Sus scrofa: one gene and its partners. The protein of the gene in region 2 binds, or shares a complex with, the protein of the main gene of each other region. Links are inferred from orthologs where the notes say so. Each region holds a gene or a part of one and is shown on either strand. Other genes may lie near its edges.

Evidence for each region.
Region 1: PIGS (region 2) and GPAA1 share a complex: the UniProt entries of both Homo sapiens proteins name them as parts of the GPI-anchor transamidase complex. The link is inferred for Sus scrofa from reciprocal best matches to the Homo sapiens genes PIGS and GPAA1.
Region 3: the proteins of PIGS (region 2) and PIGU are in contact, whole or in part, in a cryo-EM structure (PDB 8IMX), measured with the Homo sapiens proteins. The link is inferred for Sus scrofa from reciprocal best matches to the Homo sapiens genes PIGS and PIGU. Residues at the interface, in NP_149975.1 of Homo sapiens: Ala4, Gly5, Ala8, Thr9, Glu12, Arg15, Arg18, Ala19, Phe22, Phe23, Val26, Leu30, Leu34, Trp35, Thr38, Thr39, Leu510, Leu511, Phe513, Ile521, Tyr522, Leu525, Phe526; in NP_536724.1 of Homo sapiens: Gln118, Phe282, Glu283, His284, Phe285, Leu287, Phe288, Phe289, Cys291, Val292, Phe293, Ile295, Phe299, Tyr300, Ile302, Pro303, Ile306, Lys307, Lys309, Glu310, Thr417, His418.
Region 4: the proteins of PIGS (region 2) and PIGT are in contact, whole or in part, in a cryo-EM structure (PDB 8IMY), measured with the Homo sapiens proteins. The link is inferred for Sus scrofa from reciprocal best matches to the Homo sapiens genes PIGS and PIGT. Residues at the interface, in NP_149975.1 of Homo sapiens: Thr9, Glu12, Val13, Gly16, Ala19, Ala20, Phe23, Thr230, Pro238, Lys239, Tyr244, Ile247, Glu248, Val251, Gln256, Val270, Asp271, Ser272, Gln273, Ile274, Tyr276, Tyr277, Met279, Ser309, Arg310, Ser313, Ser314, Ala315, Ala316, Phe513; in NP_057021.2 of Homo sapiens: Pro26, Arg27, Val63, Ser64, His65, Tyr66, Arg67, Lys71, Gln75, Lys79, Tyr80, Val133, Gly136, Lys191, Leu193, Pro194, Cys195, Ser196, Lys198, Ala199, Glu270, Pro271, Pro273, Leu274, Tyr526, Ile529, Cys530, Cys533, Val536, Ala537.

What each region holds. Positions count from the first base shown.
Region 1 is NC_010446.5:614,901-619,975, reverse strand, and holds the start of GPAA1 (glycosylphosphatidylinositol anchor attachment 1 protein), read left to right. Parts: upstream 1-1,701; 5' UTR 1,702-1,832; coding exon 1,833-1,906; intron 1,907-2,184; coding exon 2,185-2,364; intron 2,365-2,449; coding exon 2,450-2,561; intron 2,562-2,983; coding exon 2,984-3,131; intron 3,132-3,211; coding exon 3,212-3,313; intron 3,314-3,396; coding exon 3,397-3,593; intron 3,594-3,665; coding exon 3,666-3,862; intron 3,863-3,969; coding exon 3,970-4,123; intron 4,124-4,277; coding exon 4,278-4,373; intron 4,374-4,498; coding exon 4,499-4,689; intron 4,690-4,762; coding exon 4,763-4,933; intron 4,934-5,058; coding exon 5,059-5,075. Other genes in the region: EXOSC4 (exosome complex component RRP41), read left to right, coding at 1-13, 123-482. UniProt on the Homo sapiens protein: Component of the glycosylphosphatidylinositol-anchor (GPI-anchor) transamidase (GPI-T) complex that catalyzes the formation of the linkage between a proprotein and a GPI-anchor and participates in GPI anchored protein biosynthesis. Binds GPI-anchor.
Region 2 is NC_010454.4:44,814,603-44,818,932, reverse strand, and holds part of PIGS (GPI transamidase component PIG-S), read left to right. Parts: intron 1-1,691; coding exon 1,692-1,781; intron 1,782-2,040; coding exon 2,041-2,132; intron 2,133-3,397; coding exon 3,398-3,605; intron 3,606-3,896; coding exon 3,897-4,039; intron 4,040-4,330. UniProt on the Homo sapiens protein: Component of the glycosylphosphatidylinositol-anchor (GPI-anchor) transamidase (GPI-T) complex that catalyzes the formation of the linkage between a proprotein and a GPI-anchor and participates in GPI anchored protein biosynthesis.
Region 3 is NC_010459.5:38,077,990-38,082,970, forward strand, and holds the start of PIGU (phosphatidylinositol glycan anchor biosynthesis class U protein precursor), read right to left. Parts: upstream 3,074-4,981; coding exon 2,944-3,073; intron 1-2,943. UniProt on the Homo sapiens protein: Component of the glycosylphosphatidylinositol-anchor (GPI-anchor) transamidase (GPI-T) complex that catalyzes the formation of the linkage between a proprotein and a GPI-anchor and participates in GPI anchored protein biosynthesis.
Region 4 is NC_010459.5:47,747,466-47,750,902, forward strand, and holds the end of PIGT (GPI transamidase component PIG-T), read left to right. Parts: intron 1-561; coding exon 562-727; intron 728-850; coding exon 851-934; intron 935-1,945; coding exon 1,946-2,198; 3' UTR 2,199-2,587; downstream 2,588-3,437. UniProt on the Homo sapiens protein: Component of the glycosylphosphatidylinositol-anchor (GPI-anchor) transamidase (GPI-T) complex that catalyzes the formation of the linkage between a proprotein and a GPI-anchor and participates in GPI anchored protein biosynthesis.

The DNA of each region.
Region 1 (5,075 bases), on a different chromosome or scaffold from region 2:
TATCTACGTGCAGGTGAGCAGGCAGCAGCCGTCAGCTGCGGAGGGGAGAGAGAAGGAGGGGGTGGGGGTCGGGCATCAGCAGCCTAATGGACTGACACCACTGGGGGGGGGTGTCACTGCAGGTGCTGCAGGCAGATGGTGGGATCTATGCGGCTTGTGTGAACGTGGCCACACTGGCAGTGCTGGACGCCGGGATACCCATGCGGGACTTTGTATGTGCCTGCTCAGCTGGCTTTGTGGATGGGACAGCCCTGGCAGACCTCAGCCATGTGGAGGAAGCAGCTGGTGGCCCCCAGCTGGCCCTGGCCCTGCTGCCAGCCTCAGGCCAGATCGCACTGCTGGAGATGGATGCAAGGCTTCATGAGGACCACCTGGAGCAGGTGCTAGAGGCCGCTGCCCAGGCCGCCCGAGATGTGCACACCGTACTGGACCGTGTGGTCCGGCAACACGTACAAGAGGCCTCGATCTTGCTGGGGGACTGAGTACACGGCCGCCCAGGCCCAGAATAAAACTCACACGCGCTCAGTCCACTGTACTTTGATCTCCCCAAAGCACCTCCGTGCCCTCAGAGCCCGGCCCGGAGCTGGCTCCAGGGGCGACAAAGGGTGCTCCCTACGCGTGAACTGCGTAACCCTTGCAGCCTCAGGATTCCAACCCTGAGGAAGGGGGCGGTGGGTGTCCCTGGGTGAAGAGAGGCGCTTGTGTCATGAAGGGTTCAAGACAGCTGAGCAATGTGGCAAGGCCTGGTGTAATGAGCCAAGCCCTCATACTGTGGAGTCTGATTCTCACTGCAGCACATCCAGGGCCTTGAGCACAAGTGCTGAGGGAGAACTCCTTTGGCTATGGGTGCCACCAAGGTGATGGGGGGGCACCTCCCACATCCTCTGGATTATGTCTTGGACTGAATGGTCCCTTTCCCCCCAGAATCCCTTGAGCTTGTCCTGTGGCTTATCTTGAGCTCTGAAAGTACAACAGCGACATGATCTTGGCTCTGGCCCTTTCTCAGTCTGACCCAGACACTCCCCAACCCATGGTTGCACCTTCCTTCCAAATCTCTTTCTGCCTCCTGCTGTCAGACCTGCCTGAGCCCTGACCACCAGCCCCTGCTGTCTGAACTCAGGGACTACTTTTCTAATATCCCAGATACCTGGCCTGGACAGGCGGGCTCCCCATTTTCTATTCCACACACCCAAGCTCCTTTGCAACCCCTTTTGGCCAGCAGTATTCATGCACCTTCCTTCCTGTGGTCATCTGGCCCCACTGACCTTGGTTCTGGGCACAATACGTGATTCCACTCGGGCCCCTACTGCTGTTTTTTGGTGACCGACATTCACAGGAATAGGTCCGCCATCGCCTTGGCCTCAGCTCACAGAAGCCCCTTCACTTCCCGCGAGGGCACTCAAGCCTGTCGTTGTCAGTGGCAGCAGCATCTTCAGACATCTTCCAGTGTCTACGCTCTGGTCGCTGCTTCCGGTTTTCCTCCCACCTGCCCCATTCATCATCCCGATTCTCCTTCGAGCCGAGCGTTCTCGACTAGTCAGTCTTCATTGCCCTCCGGCGCCACACGCCGCGGTCGGCCGGCCTGGAGGCTGCTCCCGTTCTGCGCCAGCGAGGAAACGCAGACGCGGGGGCAACTCCCTTCCCAGCAGCTCTGCTCGGGGCTTGCGGGGTGGGGGCGCGACGGGCGGCATCGCGCACGCGCAGCGGCGCGAGGCCCGCCGGGACCGGAAGTGCGGGTGGGCGCGGAGCCCCGCGGGGACCGGAGCGGCGCGCCGGGCCGGGTGCCGTAGCTGGCAGCGGGGAGCGCGGTCCCGGAGCCGCCCGGCCCTGCCATGGGCCTCCTGTCGGACCCGGTGCGCCGGCGCGCGCTCGCCCGCCTGGTGCTGCGCCTCAACGCGCCGCTCTGGTGAGGGGGGTGCCTGGGAGCGGGGGCCGGAGGACCGGGGCTCGAGCTGCCGGGGCCCCTCCGGGTGCTCGCGCCAGTCTTCTCCCGCCCACCGGCATCACTCGGGGCACCAGGCCTGGGGCTCAGCCCTCCCGTCCGGCGTCCCGGGTGCTGGGACTCGGGATCCAGGTCCCACAGATATGACGCCTCCACCCCCCCAGTGCGGAGGTAGAGGCTACGGGCTGGCATCTCGGAGCCTGCTAATGCTCCAGCGGCCCCCTCCGCCCCTCTCCCCGCAGTGTGCTGAGCTACGTGGCGGGCATCGCCTGGTTCCTGGCGCTGGCTTTCCCGCCGCTGACCCAGCGCACTTACATGTCGGAGAACGCCATAGGCTCCACTATGGTGGAGGAGCAATTTTCGGGCGGAGACCGTGCCCGGAGCTTTGCCCGGGACTTCGCTGCTCACCGCAGGAAGACGGGGTGAGCGGCAGAGCCATGCGTACGCTGGAAGCAATACCAGTCAAAGCCAGAGAGCTCTGCTCAGAAGATCTCTTTGTGTCTTTAGGGCCCTGCCAGTGGCTTGGCTGGAGCGGACGATGCGGTCAGTGGGGCTGGAGGTCTACACGCAGAGTTTCTCCCGGAAACTGCCCTTTCCAGATGAGACCCACGAGCGCTATGTATTGTGGTGGAGGGGGTGTGCTTGCGACCAAAAAGCACCTTGAAGGGGAGGGAGATGTCCTGGGTCCAGAGAAATCATTGGTGGGCATTCTAGGACTAAAGAGGTGGGGCTTGGAGTTCCCGTCGTGCATAGCTGAAATGAATCTGGCTAGGATCCAGGAGGTTGTGGGTTCGACCCCTGGCTTCGCTCAGTGGGTTAAGGATCGGGCGTTGCCCTGAGCCGTGGTGTAGGTTGCAGACGTGGCCTGGATCTGGCATGGTTGTGACTGTAGCGTAGGCCAGAGGCTACAGCTCTGATTCGACCCCTAGCCTGGGAATCTCCATACGCTGCACCCGTGGCCCTAAAAAGACCCCCAAAAAAAGTGGGGCTTCAGCTTCGTCGAGTGGGGTCCTGCTGAGGCTCCCCCAATACTGCACGCAGATGGTGTCAGGCGTGAACGTTTACGGCATCCTCCGGGCCCCGCGCGCCGCCAGCACAGAGTCCCTGGTGCTTACCGTCCCCTGCGGCTCTGACTCTACCAACAGCCAGGCTGTCGGGCTGCTGCTGGCACTTGCTGCCCACTTCCGGGGTGAGGCTTAAGGGCGACTGCTGGCAAGGGAGGGTTTGGCCACTTCCCCAGGCCCTGCTGACCCAGCCTCTGGCCTCCAGGGCAGATCTACTGGGCCAAAGACATCATCTTCCTGGTGACAGAACACGACCTCCTGGGCACTGAGGCCTGGCTTGAAGCCTACCACGACGTCAATGTCACTGGTGTGTCCCTGCCCTGCCCCTCTGAGGCCAGCCCCCCCCCCCCAACAGCCCCTTGTTGGCAGCTCCTTCACCTGCTCCCACAGGTATGCAGTCCTCCGCTCTGCAGGGCCGGGCGGGGGCCATCCAGGTGGCTGTGGCCTTGGAGCTAAGCAGTGATGTGATCACCAGCCTGGACGTGGCTGTGGAGGGGCTCAACGGGCAGCTGCCCAACTTGGACCTGCTCAACCTCTTCCAGACTTTCTGCCAGAAAGGGGGCCTGCTGTGCACACTGCAGGGCAAGGTACGGCCACCCGCCTGGGGAGCACGGGGCCTGTGTGTAGAGTTTATCTGACCTTGTTCCCACACCTCTAAGCTGCAGCCCCAGGACTGGACATCAGTAGACAGGCCACTGCAGAGTGTGCAGACACTGCTACTCATGGTTCTGCAACAGGCCTCTGGCCGCCCCCACGGCCCCCACGGCCTCTTCCTGCGCTACCGCGTGGAGGCTCTAACTCTCCGTGGCATCAATAGCTTCCGCCAGTACAAGTACGACCTGGTGGCAGTGGGCAAGTAAGTGCTTCCAGCCTCCCCTTGCACGCCCGGGCCGAGGGGTGGGTGCCGGGGGTCTGGCGTGCCATGGCCGTGACCGTGACCGTGACCGTGACCGCACCCGGCAGGGCTCTGGAGGGCATGTTCCGCAAGCTCAACCACCTCCTGGAGCGTCTGCATCAGTCCTTCTTCTTCTACCTGCTGCCCGCGCTCTCCCGCTTCGTCTCCATTGGCCTCTACATGCCGGCCGCCGGCTTTCTGCTCCTGGTCCTTGGTCTCAAGATATCCTCTGCCTCTCGCTGTTGGAGCCGACCTCAGGTCCCCTCCACTCTGGGGCCCTCCACTCGGGGGGAGCAGGGGTGGCGAGTGGGCGTAGGGCCTGGGTCCCCCACCCAGCAGACCTCATCACACCTCTCAGGATCCTTGACCAGGCCACGCTCTGGAACTGTGGATGCAGCTGCATGAGGCTGGCGTGGGTCCCCAGGAGGCTGGGGGGACCGCCGGATCCAGTCCTCCCTTCCCGCCAACACAGGTGACTGTCCCCCTGCTCCTGTTGTTGGGGGGGCTGCCACTCCGTCTCGGCTGGCAGGTGGAGGGAGGATCCTTGGGACTCCCCCGGCCCCGGGGCCTGTCTCCAAGTGCCTGTGTGCCCTGCAGAGTGTGGGGCTGGCCTCGCTTGTGGCGCCCTTGCTGATCTCCCAGGCGGTGGGCCTGGCCCTCTACCTCCTGCCGGTGCTGGGTCAACATGTGGCCGCCCAGCACTTCCCCGTGGCTGAGGCCGAGGCCGTGGTGCTGACGCTGCTGGCTGTCTATGCAGCTGGCCTGGCGCTTCCACACAACACCCACCGGTGAGGAGCTGGGCTGGGCGGGCCCGGGCAGGGGCTCCCTGGACATGCTGCCTCTGAGTTCCTTGCCTTGCAGGGTCGTGAGCACACAGGCCCCAGACAGGGGCTGGATGGCCCTGAAGCTGGTAGCCTTGATCTGCCTGGCCCTACAGCTGGCCTGCATCACCCTCACCAACTTCTCTCTGGGCTTTCTGCTGGCTGCTACCATGGTGCCCGCCGCCGCACTCACCAAGCCCTCTGGGCCCCGGTACGCACTGGCCAGCCCCTGCCCCCAGGGCCCGTGCCCCTTAGCACGGACTCTGGCCTCCTCCGCCACCGGTGCCTGTTGCCCCACTGGCCTCAGAGCCCAGTTTGACCCCGCTTCTCCCCCAGGCCCCTCTATGCTGCCC
Region 2 (4,330 bases):
GGATCCGTGTTGCCATGGCTGTGGCATGGGCCTCAGCTGCAGCTCTGATACGACCCCTGACCTGGGAACTTCCATATACCACAGGTGTGGCTGTTAAAAAAAAAAAAAAAAAGGTGATTTTTTTTTTTTTTCCCTATATTTTATTCCCTGTCAACCTTTTACCTGATGGTTTTAGCATCTGTTGATACTGGAATCCATTTCATTATGTAGCAAAAGGACAACTTTTAAATTCTGCCATTTTTTTCTGCATATATGACCTGGAATTTTTTTTTTATAAAGAAGAACTTTCCCAATAAATTTTAGGTTCAGCTTATCAAATTCCAGGCAGCAAAGAAAAAAAAAATCCTTTGAGATTGCTTTACACATTTAGATTAATGAAGAGAATTGACATCCTTAGACTATTTACTCTTGCCATCAAGGAGCTTTGTATGTGTTTTCTATTTTATTTAGATCTTCTATGTCATTGAGTAAAGTCCTGTTTTTGTCTTTTCCAGGGCCGTACCCGGGGCATATGAAGGTTCCCAGGCTAGGGATCTAATCCAAGCTGTAGCCGCTGGCCTACGCCACAGCCACAGCAACGACAGATCTGAGCTGAGTCTGCAACCTACACCACAGCTCAGAGCAATGCTGGATCCTTAACCCACTGAGCAAGGCCAGGGATCAAACCCGCAACCTCATGGTTCCTAGTCAGATTTGTTAACCACTGTGCCACAACGGGAACTCCTGTGACTGGTATTTTTAAAAATACTTTATAAATTGGCTCTTGCTGATATTTATCAAAAAGCTGTTGTTCTTGCATATTCTTGCAATTATTTTTTAGTTGGTTGTCTTTGATTTCACTTGTTTATTTTTTAATTATTTTTTAATTTTTGTGGCACTCCCATGCCATGCGGAAGTTCCCAGGCCAGGGAATGGACCTGTGCCACATCAGCAATATGAGCCACAGCAGTGACAAAGCTGGATCCTTGATCTGCTGAGCCACCAGGGAACTCCAGTTCTTTCTGATCCTCATAGAAAATTATTAGGCTTTTGCAAAAGTGTCCATTTTGCCTTTCTTTCAAATGTTCACGTTACTCTCTTTTCATTTACTCCATTGGTGAAGAACTTCAGAAAGAGCAGTACTGAGTAAGAGAGGAGTTAGCAGGCATCTTTGTTTTATTATGGATATTTTTTTCGCTGTGCCTGAGGCATGTGGAAGTGGCTAGGGATCAAACCCATGCCACAGCAACAACCCAAGCCACAGCAGTGATAATGCCGTATCCTTAACCCACTGAGCCACTGGGGAAATTCCGTTAATTTTAATGAAATTATATTTAGTGTTTTGTCTTGTTTTTATCAAGAATGTTCACTGAGGTTAATTATATTGAGGCACCTATTGAAATGATCATATGGTTTTTCTCCTATTACCTATTCAGGTCATGAATATTGTAATAGATTTCCCAGTGGGAGGGTACTTGAGGTTGAAGGTAGTGTGTACACAGGCAGAGGCAAGAGCTGGGCAGGTGGAAGAGGTGGAGTGTCCTGTGTTTATATCATCCATGCAGAAATCATTAGAATGGGCTGTAGCTTCTTGGTGTTTCTCTGCAAACAATTATCTTACTGTCTTTAGATACCGTGCAGTGTTAGGGCTGGAAAGGTAGGCAGAGGTCTGATGCTTGCTCTTCTCAACATGCTTCTTCCTTTTCTCTCAGACAAACTGAAAATCAAATGCCGTTTCCAGAAGGCCTATCGGAGGGCTTTGGACCATGAGGAGGAGGCCCTCTCATCGGGCAGTGTACAAGGTACCCAAAGGACTAATCATTTTAATAGGAACCCCTCTTTTCCCTTCTGATCTCGAAGTGTGTAGTTTCCATACCTTGTCTTAACTCCAAACTCTCTCTGGGAGAGCTGGGAATGAGACACCTTGTGGCTCAGCCTGGGCCCCTGAGGGCCAAGCCTGGCCACAGTGTCAGCTGGGTGTGAGCGGGAGGTAGAGTGATGGGTTAGGTGCTGTGTGGGGGCCAGAGGATGACCTGGTACACTACCTGCTCTTGTCCACAGAGGCTGAAACCATGTTAGCTGAGCCGCTGGAGCAAGCCGAGGGCTCCCTGACAGTGTATGTGATCTCAGAGCACTCCCCACTTCTCCCCAAGGTGAGATGAGCAGAGAGGCTGCGGTCCTGCCGTATCCTTTCAGCTCGTCCTCTCCTAAGTCTCCTCCTTGCAGTATTGCTGCCTTCCATTTGCTGTAGAAGTTTTTTTTTTTTTTTAATTTATTTGTTTATTTGTTTATTTATTTATTTTAGGGCTGCACCCGTGGCATATAGAAGTTCCCAGGCTAGGGGTCACATCAAAGCTGCAGCTGCCGGCCTTTGCCACAGCTACAGCAACACAAGATCCGAGTCCCGTGTGCCACCTACACCACAGCTCAAGGCAACCCCAGATCCTTAACCCATTGGGCGGGCCAGGGATCAGACCCGCAACCTCACGCATACTAGTCAGGTTCGTAACTGCTGAACCTCAAGGGCAACTCCCGAAAGAAAACTTTAATGACTGTCCATGCACCCGCTCCCAAATTTGCAAACTACAATATAGACTCATGCAGCTCCATGGTTATACCCTGTTCCCTTTCAGCCCATGGTGGCCATATTTTGTATGTGCGATTTTCTTACTTTTCTTTCAAGTTTTATCATGTATGTTGTATCTCTATCAATAATATATTTAATTTTACATGTTTTTAAAGTTTATATAAATGGTAAAATATAGCACACGTTCTTTGGTTTTTCATTTTGCTCGACATTTACGCTTGAATCATCCACGATAATATATGCAGTTGCATCTAATGCATTCATATTATTTTGGGCCACGCCTGTGGCATGCGCGAGTTCCCAGGCCACGGACTGAACCCACATCACAGCAATGACAACGCCAGGTCCTTTACCTGCCAAGCCACCAGGGAAGCCCTGATGGGTTCATTTTAAATTCTGTCTACTGTTTCATTGTATAAACATATCCCAGTTTATCCATTCACTTGCTGACAGGCATTTGGGTTGTCTCTGGTGTTAAACTAAAATAATGCTGCTGTGAAAATTCCTGTACTTGCCTCTTTGCCACGTGTCAAACTTCCTTGCTGCTTGTTTCTTCTTGCTCAGCATGCTGTCTCTTAGTTTCCAGCCTGGGAAGATGTAGATATTGCCTGGACCTGGGTTGATGGGAAAGAGAGGCAACTGAAATCAAGGAAAACACTCAGATATACCCAGAGCTCAGAAAAGCTGTGATGGTGGTTTACTATGACTCTAGAAAGAGGTGCAGGCCTATTGGGCAGCGGCAGAAGGCCAGATTCTCAGACAGGAGCCTGGGTGCTCTTCTGCTTTCTTCCCTGAGCCGTGGGCATCCTGGCCCCTGCTTGCCCCTCGCAGGACATGATGAGCTACATCGGGCCCAAGAGGACCGCGGTCGTGCGGGGGATCACGCACCGGGAGGCCTTCAACATCATCGGCCGCCGCATCATCCAGGTCGCCCAGGCCATGTCTCTGACGGAGGACGTGCTCGCTGCGGCTCTGGCCGACCACCTTCCAGAGGACAAGTGGAGCTCTGATAAGAGGCGGCCCCTCAAGTCCAGCTTGGGTAGGGTGACCGGGCTCTGCCATGGGAAGGGAGAGGGAAGTGAGTGATGTGGAGACATGGGGACAGGAGGGGAATCTGCATGCAGACGCTTCACTCCTGTCTTCCGTGGCTTCATCTTTTTCTGAAAGCACTCCGTGTCCCTCATCCCAGTTTTATCCTCCCTTTGGTTTCATGATGGCCACCAGCCCCACTCCCATTCCAGAGGAGAAGCAAGTGCAGCTCCGCCAGGGGTACAGGCTGCCTCCTTTGATGCTCAGAAGCCTCTGGCTTCCCTGACTCCTGTTTCTACAGGCTACGAAATCACCTTCAGTTTACTCAACCCTGACCCCAAGTCCCATGACGTCCACTGGGACATTGAGGGGGCTGTCCGGCGCTTTGTGCAGCCCTTCCTGAATGCCCTCAGTGCTGCAGGCAACTTCTCAGTGGACTCTCAGGTGAGCCTGGGAGCACGTTGAGCCCTTTTCCGGGTTGTGCCATCCTTTTGCAAGTCCCTCCGTGTTTCGCATTTACAGGTGTGGTCTCTTAGAGACTGCTGATTTGCTAGGAAATTTCTGTGCATACATAGGGTTCCAGGGTTTACTTTTCCTCCCTGGTGTCCAGTTTGGGGGTTTTGTCAATATGTCCTAAAAAGCTAGTTTCCTTATGGCTCCCTCTAGAACTGCATTCACCAGCCGCGTCACCCATAGGGAATTTATTACAAAACAAACGGAGGAAGTACCTTTCAA
Region 3 (4,981 bases), on a different chromosome or scaffold from region 2:
AAAAGACCAAAAAAAAAAAAAAAAAAATCAGAATACTGGTTACTTATGATGGGGGATGAAAGGGCTGTGATTGAGATCGGGTGTAGGGAAAGACTTCTAGAGTAAGTGGCAGTGTTCTGATTCTTGACCTGAACGACAATTCTAAAAGTGTTTGCCTTAAAATAAATGAACTGTGTAACACATTGTTGTGTGTATTTTACTAATTCTGAATTTATTTAACAAAAAAGTGGTTTTTAGTTTTTTGCTTTTTTTAAGGAATACCATCAGAAGTGTTCCTCCCAACCCTGACTCATAGTGGTGCCGGAGATGGGTTTCTAAATAAGCACTAATAATTTGAGCTCTCCCCTGATTCAAAAAGCTAAGCCTACAAGAATTACTAATCTTTAAGTCAAAGGCTGAAGAAATATCAAATGTGACAGAAAGGTTCTAAAATTATTCTTGACACATAACACAAGATGCTATACAGTGGTCACTGGTAAAACAGCCATGCCTAAAGATTGCCAGCTAATCACATAATGTTACTATCCATGTGACTTTCAGCAAATAACAATATCTCTGTACTTTAATATTCTCATCTATAAAGTGCCATTATAGAAACTAAATGCTTTTTTTTTTTTAACACATCTAAAATGCTTAGAACAGTACCTGGCATGCAGAGAGCTTTACACCAGCGTTAGTTATTATTATTTATTGGAAGCATACATCTGCATTTTGTCAAGCAAGAAATTTGTATAAATTTTAGCTGTACTATCAAATCAACTGGTGGGTCTGTAGAAATGAGGGACATAAGTAGTTTTAAGTGGTGAGAGAGTAGAGAAAGTAGGGTCTAATGCTGCCTTGGATCTTCTGGAATTCAGAAGAAAGCAGGAACCAAGTGATTTCAACAAACAATTCAATTTGTTCAACAAATAATTATATGCAAATATCATATGCAAAGATATAAAGTCTAAACTCTTACCATCACACATATGAACTACAACTACCTTTTTACCACTTATCAGCTGGAACCTGGGCAAACTACTTAACTTCACCAAATCTCAGTTTCTTCATCTGTAAAATAAGGAAGATAATGCCATCTAATACAAGAATAACTGGAGAATAAAATGAGGCTTACCAGTCTCCGGAAGTATTTTTAGAAAAGTTAGCTCTAATTATTCATAAAACAGCCATTCATTACACGACTCCCCATTCCAAAATGTCAATGGGATAACATCAAAAACTCTAGCATTTGAAGTTTGAGGACATGATGCAAACTATTGCATTTGGAGTGGATAAGCAATGAGATCCTGCTGGATAGCAGAGGAAACTATATCTAGTCCCTTGTGATGGAACATGATGGAGGATAATGTGAGAAAAAGAATATATAAATACACGTATGACTGGTTCACTTTGCTGTACAGGAGAAATTGACAGAACACTGTAAATCAACTATAATGAAAAAAACAAAAATCATACAAACTAAAAAAAAAAGAAAATACATCTAGAGAAATAAATAGATTTTACCTAGCAAAAAAAAAGTTCAAGGACATGAAGGGGATTTCTGGGCTGCTGGTAATGTTCTGTTTCTTGAACTGCAAGCTGGCTACATGAGTATAGTAAATTATTTAAGCTATACACTTATTATTATGTGCACTGTCTGTATATTGTACTTCAGTAAGAAAAGTTTATTTATTTTCTTGTCCATGACCACAGCATTCCGCAGAAGTTCCCCAGCAAGAGATCAAATCTGCAGCCACAGCAGTAACAACAGGAGATCCTTAACCCGCTGTGCCACCAGGGAATTCCAGTAAGAAAGTTTTTTGAAAAAAAAATCTTCAAATTCTGGCCTTCACCTTACACCCACCTCATTACTCCCCTACTTTGGGCATTTCACATCTTTCAACATGTCTTGATCCTGACAACCTTCTACCTGAAACTCCGCTTCCTCTAATCTCCCTTTTCACACTCTACATCCTTCAAGAGTTAGCTCAAATCCCACATTCCTTAAACTGGAAAAGGAGAGGACACTTTCTTCAGGGTCAGAACTCCAAGGAAGGAACTGGAGGCACACAGGAAGTACACTTTTCTTTCTTTTTTCTTTTTTTTTTTTTAGGGCCACACCTGCTGCATATGAAGTTCCCAGGCTAGGGGTCAAATCAGAGCTGCAGCTGTGGGCCTACACCACAGCCACAACAACACTAGATATATCCAAGCCACATCTGCGATCTGCAATGCACCTCACAGCAACGAGGGATCTTTAATCCGCTGAGAGAGGGCCAGGTGTTGAACCTGAGCCCTCCTAATGGATACTACCTGGGTTGTTATCCACTGAGCCACAATGGGAACTCCAGGAAGTACACTTTTCATAAATGACTATATCTGTTTGTCTGCCTTATTAGAGTGCCTGTGGACTCTTTAGTCCAAACTGGCTCTCTGTGGGCTCCAGTATAAAACAATGTTTGATGAAGAACTTAAAAGAAATAAGATATAGTAGGAGAAGCTGCACTGCAAGTCCCAGGCTGAGACAAGGTTTATAAGGGCACTCACACACTCTCCTCGCTTATGCAGGAATGGTCCCCTCAGGGGCACCCCCCCCACACACACACACACACCCACGCACAAGCGATCTCGCGCCAAAACTCACTCCACTTAGCACGCCCTTTTCTCATCCCGACCCTTCCTCAAGCAGATCTTTCCTCAGACCACGCCCCTCAGCTCAGGACCCGAGGGGGACACACCCCCTCATATCTACATCTCGCAGGTGACCAGCCCCTACGGCCCCAACCTCACCACACCAACCAACGTCCCCCCGCCCTTAGCAGCCCCGCTCGCCCGCTCGAGGACGCGATAACTGGTGAGTTCCCTCAGAATCTTGAACATGCGGCCACTGCCCCCGCCTCCCATTCACAGAGGCCAGAGGCGCACAGGCGGGGCCTGGACGCCTACTCGAGCCGGTGGCCTCACCTCTCTTCCAAGAGCTCAGTGGGGACACCACCTCCACCCGCTCCGAGATGAACTCGGCCAGACTGGAGCGAAACAAGGCTGCCCGCACAGTCACTGCCACCACCAGCACCAAGGCCAAGGGAGCCGCCATGATAGCTGGGGCGGGCGCGCAGGCAGGAGGGGAAAGGCGAGGCGGAAGAGCCTCGCGGTCTGTGCACCGCCCTCTGTAGTTCTGCGGGTCAGCGCGCCTCGCGGCTGCCCACGAAACTCCCAAACTGGGAACTACCACTCCCAGGAGGCCTTGCGGCGAAGTAGGGCGTGGCGACGGAAAGCGGGGCGCCTCAAGCTTATAGCAAAGGGTTGGGCGAGGTCTCCCACTATAGCAGGTGAATTGTAATAGCACTGAGGTGCTGCTGAAAGGAGACACGTGAAGACAGTTACCATCCTGGAATTGTTGAGCGAGTTTTAAAGAAACGTTCATTTCACTCTTGTGTGTATGTTTTTAGTGTTAAAATGTTTCCTTTTTTATGTTTTCAAAGAGTATTAAATATGTATTCGTTGATTTACTACATACTTATTTGTAGAATGTCAACTATATGGGTTCTGAGGATACATTGTGGAGTATTACAGAGATTTATTAGCTCTGCGGCCTTGAACAAGTTGCCGAACTTTTCTGTGCCTCAGGTCCCTCACCTTAAAAATGCACTCGTTTTTGGCTCCTTGTGAGTGAGCTAGAAACCATTGAAGAATGCTTAGAAATTTTGCCAGCCGCTTTTAAACACAGACATTACTGTAAATTAGTACAGCCACTATGGAGAATAGTATGGAGGTTCCTTTATAAACCAAAAAGGGAGTTCCTGCTGTGGCAAAGTTGGTTAAAGAGAAGTTGATTAATGATCTGGCTTATCTTTGTGGTGTTGCTGGTTCCATCCCCAACCCTGCTCAGTGGATTAAGGATCCTGAATTGCCGCGGCTGTGGCTGGGATTCAGTATCCCCCTCCCCAGGAGCTTCCATATGCCTCGGGTACAGCCATAAAATTAAAAAAAAAAAAAAAAGTATCTAAGAATGAAAGTGTTTATATGTGTAAATGATTCACTTTGCTGTATGCCTGAAACTAACACAACATTGTAAATCAACTGTACTCCTAATAATACTTTTTTGAAATTAAATAAAAATAAACTCAGCTATTATCAAAAATTAACTTATACAAACCTACAATTCAATAAGTTGTGTAAACAACAAGGTAATAAATACTCAAAACATCCCTTGCTAAGTATTTTACTACACTCTTGTTTTATCTGTGCTCTTGAGGTTATTTACCACTGCTATATCACTATGGCAAATACTGTATAATGGTATACTTCTGCCCTTGCCTTCCCAAATCATGTTTAGTGACTTAAGTTTGATAGTTTGAAATCCCAATCAATGGGAATGTTTACACCACAGAAATTGGCAAACAGTGTGTCAGAGTTTTGGAGTTTGGAGAGCCATCAATAAGCATAAGTAGCACACCACTTCATTAATGTATAAAAAATACTTATGATGAATGCTTAAATGTTAGCTATAGTAATTAAAATATTAAATAAATATAAGGAAATTTAAGATCTGTGAAGGAAATGAAACAGGTTGCATAATCAAAAATAATTTGGTGGGGAGTTCCCGTTGTGGCTCAGTGGGTTAAGAACCGGACATAGTGTATGTGAGGATGTGGGTTCAATCCCTGGCCCTCATTCAGTGAGTTGAGGATCCGGTGTTGCACTGGCTGTGGCATAGGCCTTAGCTGCAGCTCTGATTCAATGCATAGCCTGGGAATTTCCACATGCCCCAGGTGCGGCCATAAAAAAGAAAAAAAATTAAAAAAGAATAACTTGGTGGAATGGTGGTGGTAATACTACACAGAATGGTCAGGGAAGACTCTGGGAAAAGGTAACATTTGCAGTCAAATGCTCTACCACTGAGCTGTACCCTCCCAAGAGGTGACATTTGAACTGAAATGAACCTAATCAGAGCTTCCAAGCACAGGGAACAGACTGAGTCAGGAAGAAGCAAGATGTGTTT
Region 4 (3,437 bases), on a different chromosome or scaffold from region 2:
GCTCAGTGGTTAACGAATCCGACTAGGAACCATGGGGTTTCAGGTTCAATCCCTGGTCTCTGGCACTGCCGTGAGCTGTGGTGTAGGTCACAGACCTGGCTCAGGTCCCGAGTTGTGGCTCTGGGGAAGGCCAGCGGCTACAGCTCCAATTAGACCCCTAGCCTGGGAACCTCCATATGCCTCGGGTGCAGCCCTAGAAAAGACAAAAAAAAAAAGAAACTTGATTAGATTTAGGTCTGCTGTTTTAGGCAAGAAGACTTCCCAGGTGGTTCTGTGGACTTCCTCTTGCATCCCATGAGGCACCTGATGTCTGGTGGCCCAGTTCTGGGGATGCGAAGATGGATTAGGTCAAACACGTCCTGGGATGGCTGCCCTGGAAACATCTTTTCCCTTTTCTGAGATCCTCCTCCCTCCTGTGAGCCTGCCAGGCTTCTGTGATCCAAAGCCCTCCTTCTCAGCACCCCGATCCAGGGCCCGCCCCCGGGCCTCAATAGGTAGGGACAAAAGATGCAGGGGGTCTGAGCCCTGAAAGAGCTGTGGGTGGGCCCTGCCTGTCTCCAGGTTATATCCACTACCAGCCTGCCCGGGACCGGCTGCAGCCCCACCTCCTGGAGATGCTGATTCAGCTGCCAGCCAACTCGGTCACCAAGGTCTCCATCCACTTTGAGCGGGCGCTGCTGAAGTGGACTGAGTACACCCCGGACCCCAACCACGGCTTCTATGTCAGGTGGGCTCCCCCAACGGTCACCTGCGGCCCCCCGGCCTCCTGACCCACCCTCTCCATGGCTTACTGGTGATGGAGGACCCGTGAGGAACATGGCTCATGGAATATCTGTGGGCTTCTCTGCAGCCCTTCTGTCCTCAGCGCCCTCGTGCCCAGCGTGGTGGCCGCCAAACCCGTGGACTGGGACGAGAGCCCCCTCTTCAACACGCTGTAAGTGTGACCTCAGCTGCCGGTGACCGGGAGGCACCAGCACAGAGGGTCAGGTTCCCACAGGGTGGCCTGGGGCTAGATGTTGCCTCTTCCAAAGTCTTGTGTAGATTTACTCAGTCCCAACTAAAACCCTTGGGGTCCATATTTGTACAACCGTTATGAAATGATCCTAAAGTGCCTCTAGGAGAATTAGCTGGTGAGACGAGCAGTACGTATAGCCCACATTTCCTCATCGATTCTCTTAACAAATATTTAATTGAGCGCTTATCAGCTGCCAGGAACTTCAGAGAGCACTGGGTGTGCAGTGGTGAAGAAAGCAAACTTGCCGCCGCCCTGCTTGTGCTCACAGGCTAGAGGGGACGGGCTGTTCCAGAGGGTGATGGGCTCGGGGTTACTGGGGAGTAAGCTGGTGGGTCATCCAGGAGGGCTTCTTTGAGGAGATGGCCTTTAGGCTGAGACCAGAAGGCCAAGGGAGAGGCAGTGGCAGCCAAGGGAGGACAGGGTCCCTTTCCTCTCCCTCAGCACAGCCTAGCTCTCCTTTGATCACATTTATGCATTGAGCTTTAAAAGGCTCTGAGGCTTTGCAATATTCTGAAAATTAAAATAAATAAATAAATAAATAAATAGAGTTCCTGTTGTGGCGCAGCGGATCACGAACCTGACTAGTATCCAAGAGGATGCGGGTTCGATCCCTGGCCTTGCTCAGTGGGTCAGAGATCCTGTGTTGTCCTGAGCTGTGGTGTAGGTCGCAGACGCGGCTCAGATCCCGTGTTGCTGCTGTGGCTCAGGTGTAGGCCGGCGGCTGTAACTCTGATTCGACTCCCTTGCCTGGGAACCTCCATATGCCATGTATGTGGCCTAAAAAAAAAAAAAAAAAAGGCTCTGAGGCTAAGAAAGCGTTGAAAACCCTTACCAGGGAGATGGGCTCAGGGCAGCCCAAGGCGGGGAGGTAGGGGGGTTCGATGGGGAGGAGCAGCCGGTCCTGCCTCACGCCCTGCTTGGCCGCCGCAGCTTCCCAGTCTCCGACGGCTCCAGCCACTTCGTGCGGCTCTACACGGAGCCGCTGCTGGTGAACCTGCCCACCCCGGACTTCAGCATGCCCTACAACGTCATCTGCCTCACGTGCACCGTGGTGGCCGTGTGCTACGGCTCCTTCTACAATCTCCTCACCCGAACCTTCCACATCGAGGAGCCCAGAACGGGCGGCCTGGCGAAGCGGCTGGCCAACCTGATCCGGCGCGCCCGGGGCGTCCCGCCGCTCTGAGACCCCGCACGCCGCCCGGCTGCCGCATCTCCCTGTCTTGCTGCCACCTGCTCTCCGCAGAGGTGGCTTCGGAACCACATGGACCCCTGGACTGGGCCAGGGCCCAGAGCTGCACTGTGCAGTGCGGGAAGCATGAGCGGAGACATGGCATTTGACTTTAATTTAAATTGAAAGTGCGTTTCCTCAGCTGTTCCAGCCACATTTCAAGGGCTCGGTCACCAAAACTGATGAGTGACCGCTGTACCGGCGGCTCGACAAGTGTTTCCATCATCCCAGAAGGTTCTGTGGGTCAGCCCTGGCCTGGATCACTGGGCAAGCTCAAGAATTGGTTATCACTGTGTGGGAGGTGGAATTTACTGGTTGTGGAATAAAAAGTGTCTACATCCTTGGTTCTTTGCCTCCTGTCCTTGAGGCCTGGGAGGCGCTGGGGACTAGGGCTTGTTTGCTGGGTTCCTGAACAGGACCTTCCACAACCAACCAACAGAAAGACAACCAAGCAACCAAATAAAACTCGCCTACCTCCTGCCACTCCTGCCAGCAGCTCCCCCTGTGTCCTGCTTCCCTCTTCCCCCACCAACCTCATCTCACTGTAATTCCCAGAACTCCCTGGGTTTGTCTGGGAGTGTTTATGTCAGCATCTCCATGACCGTGAAAGTGAATCATCTTGTGCCTTTTAGGAGCCCTGAGAACCATCCCCTATCTCCAAGGCTGGGGCTGGAGAGACAGAAAAGCTCCGGGTGGTGGTTTTCCAACCAAACTGTATTGGAATCATTTGGGGCTCCTGTGAATTAATGAGGATTCCTGAGGTCCAGGCCCTGTGAAGTCAGTTGGGCTGGGTGTAGCCCAGCCTTCAGCGATTTTTATCAGGCCCCTCAGGAGCTTGTGTTGTGGGTGGTCCCTAGACCACCCACTGGCTTTGAAGGCCTTGGATTGAAGCCTGCTGCTGCCCACCCCTTCCGGGTTGTATAACCCTGGATTCCTGTAAATCAAGTCCTTAGGCAGATGTCTGCCCTGCCCCCTCCTCCTGTCTCTTCCTCTGACAACACTTGGCATCCACTATATGTTACTTACGGTCTGGGTCTGCCACCCCTCCTTCCCCCACTTCTTTTTTTTTTTTTTTTAGGGCCACACCAGCAGCATATGGAGGTTCCCAGGCTAGAGGCGGAACTGGAGCTACAGCTGCCCACCTACGCCACAGCCATAGCAATGCCAGATCTGAGCATCGTCTGCAAACTGCAC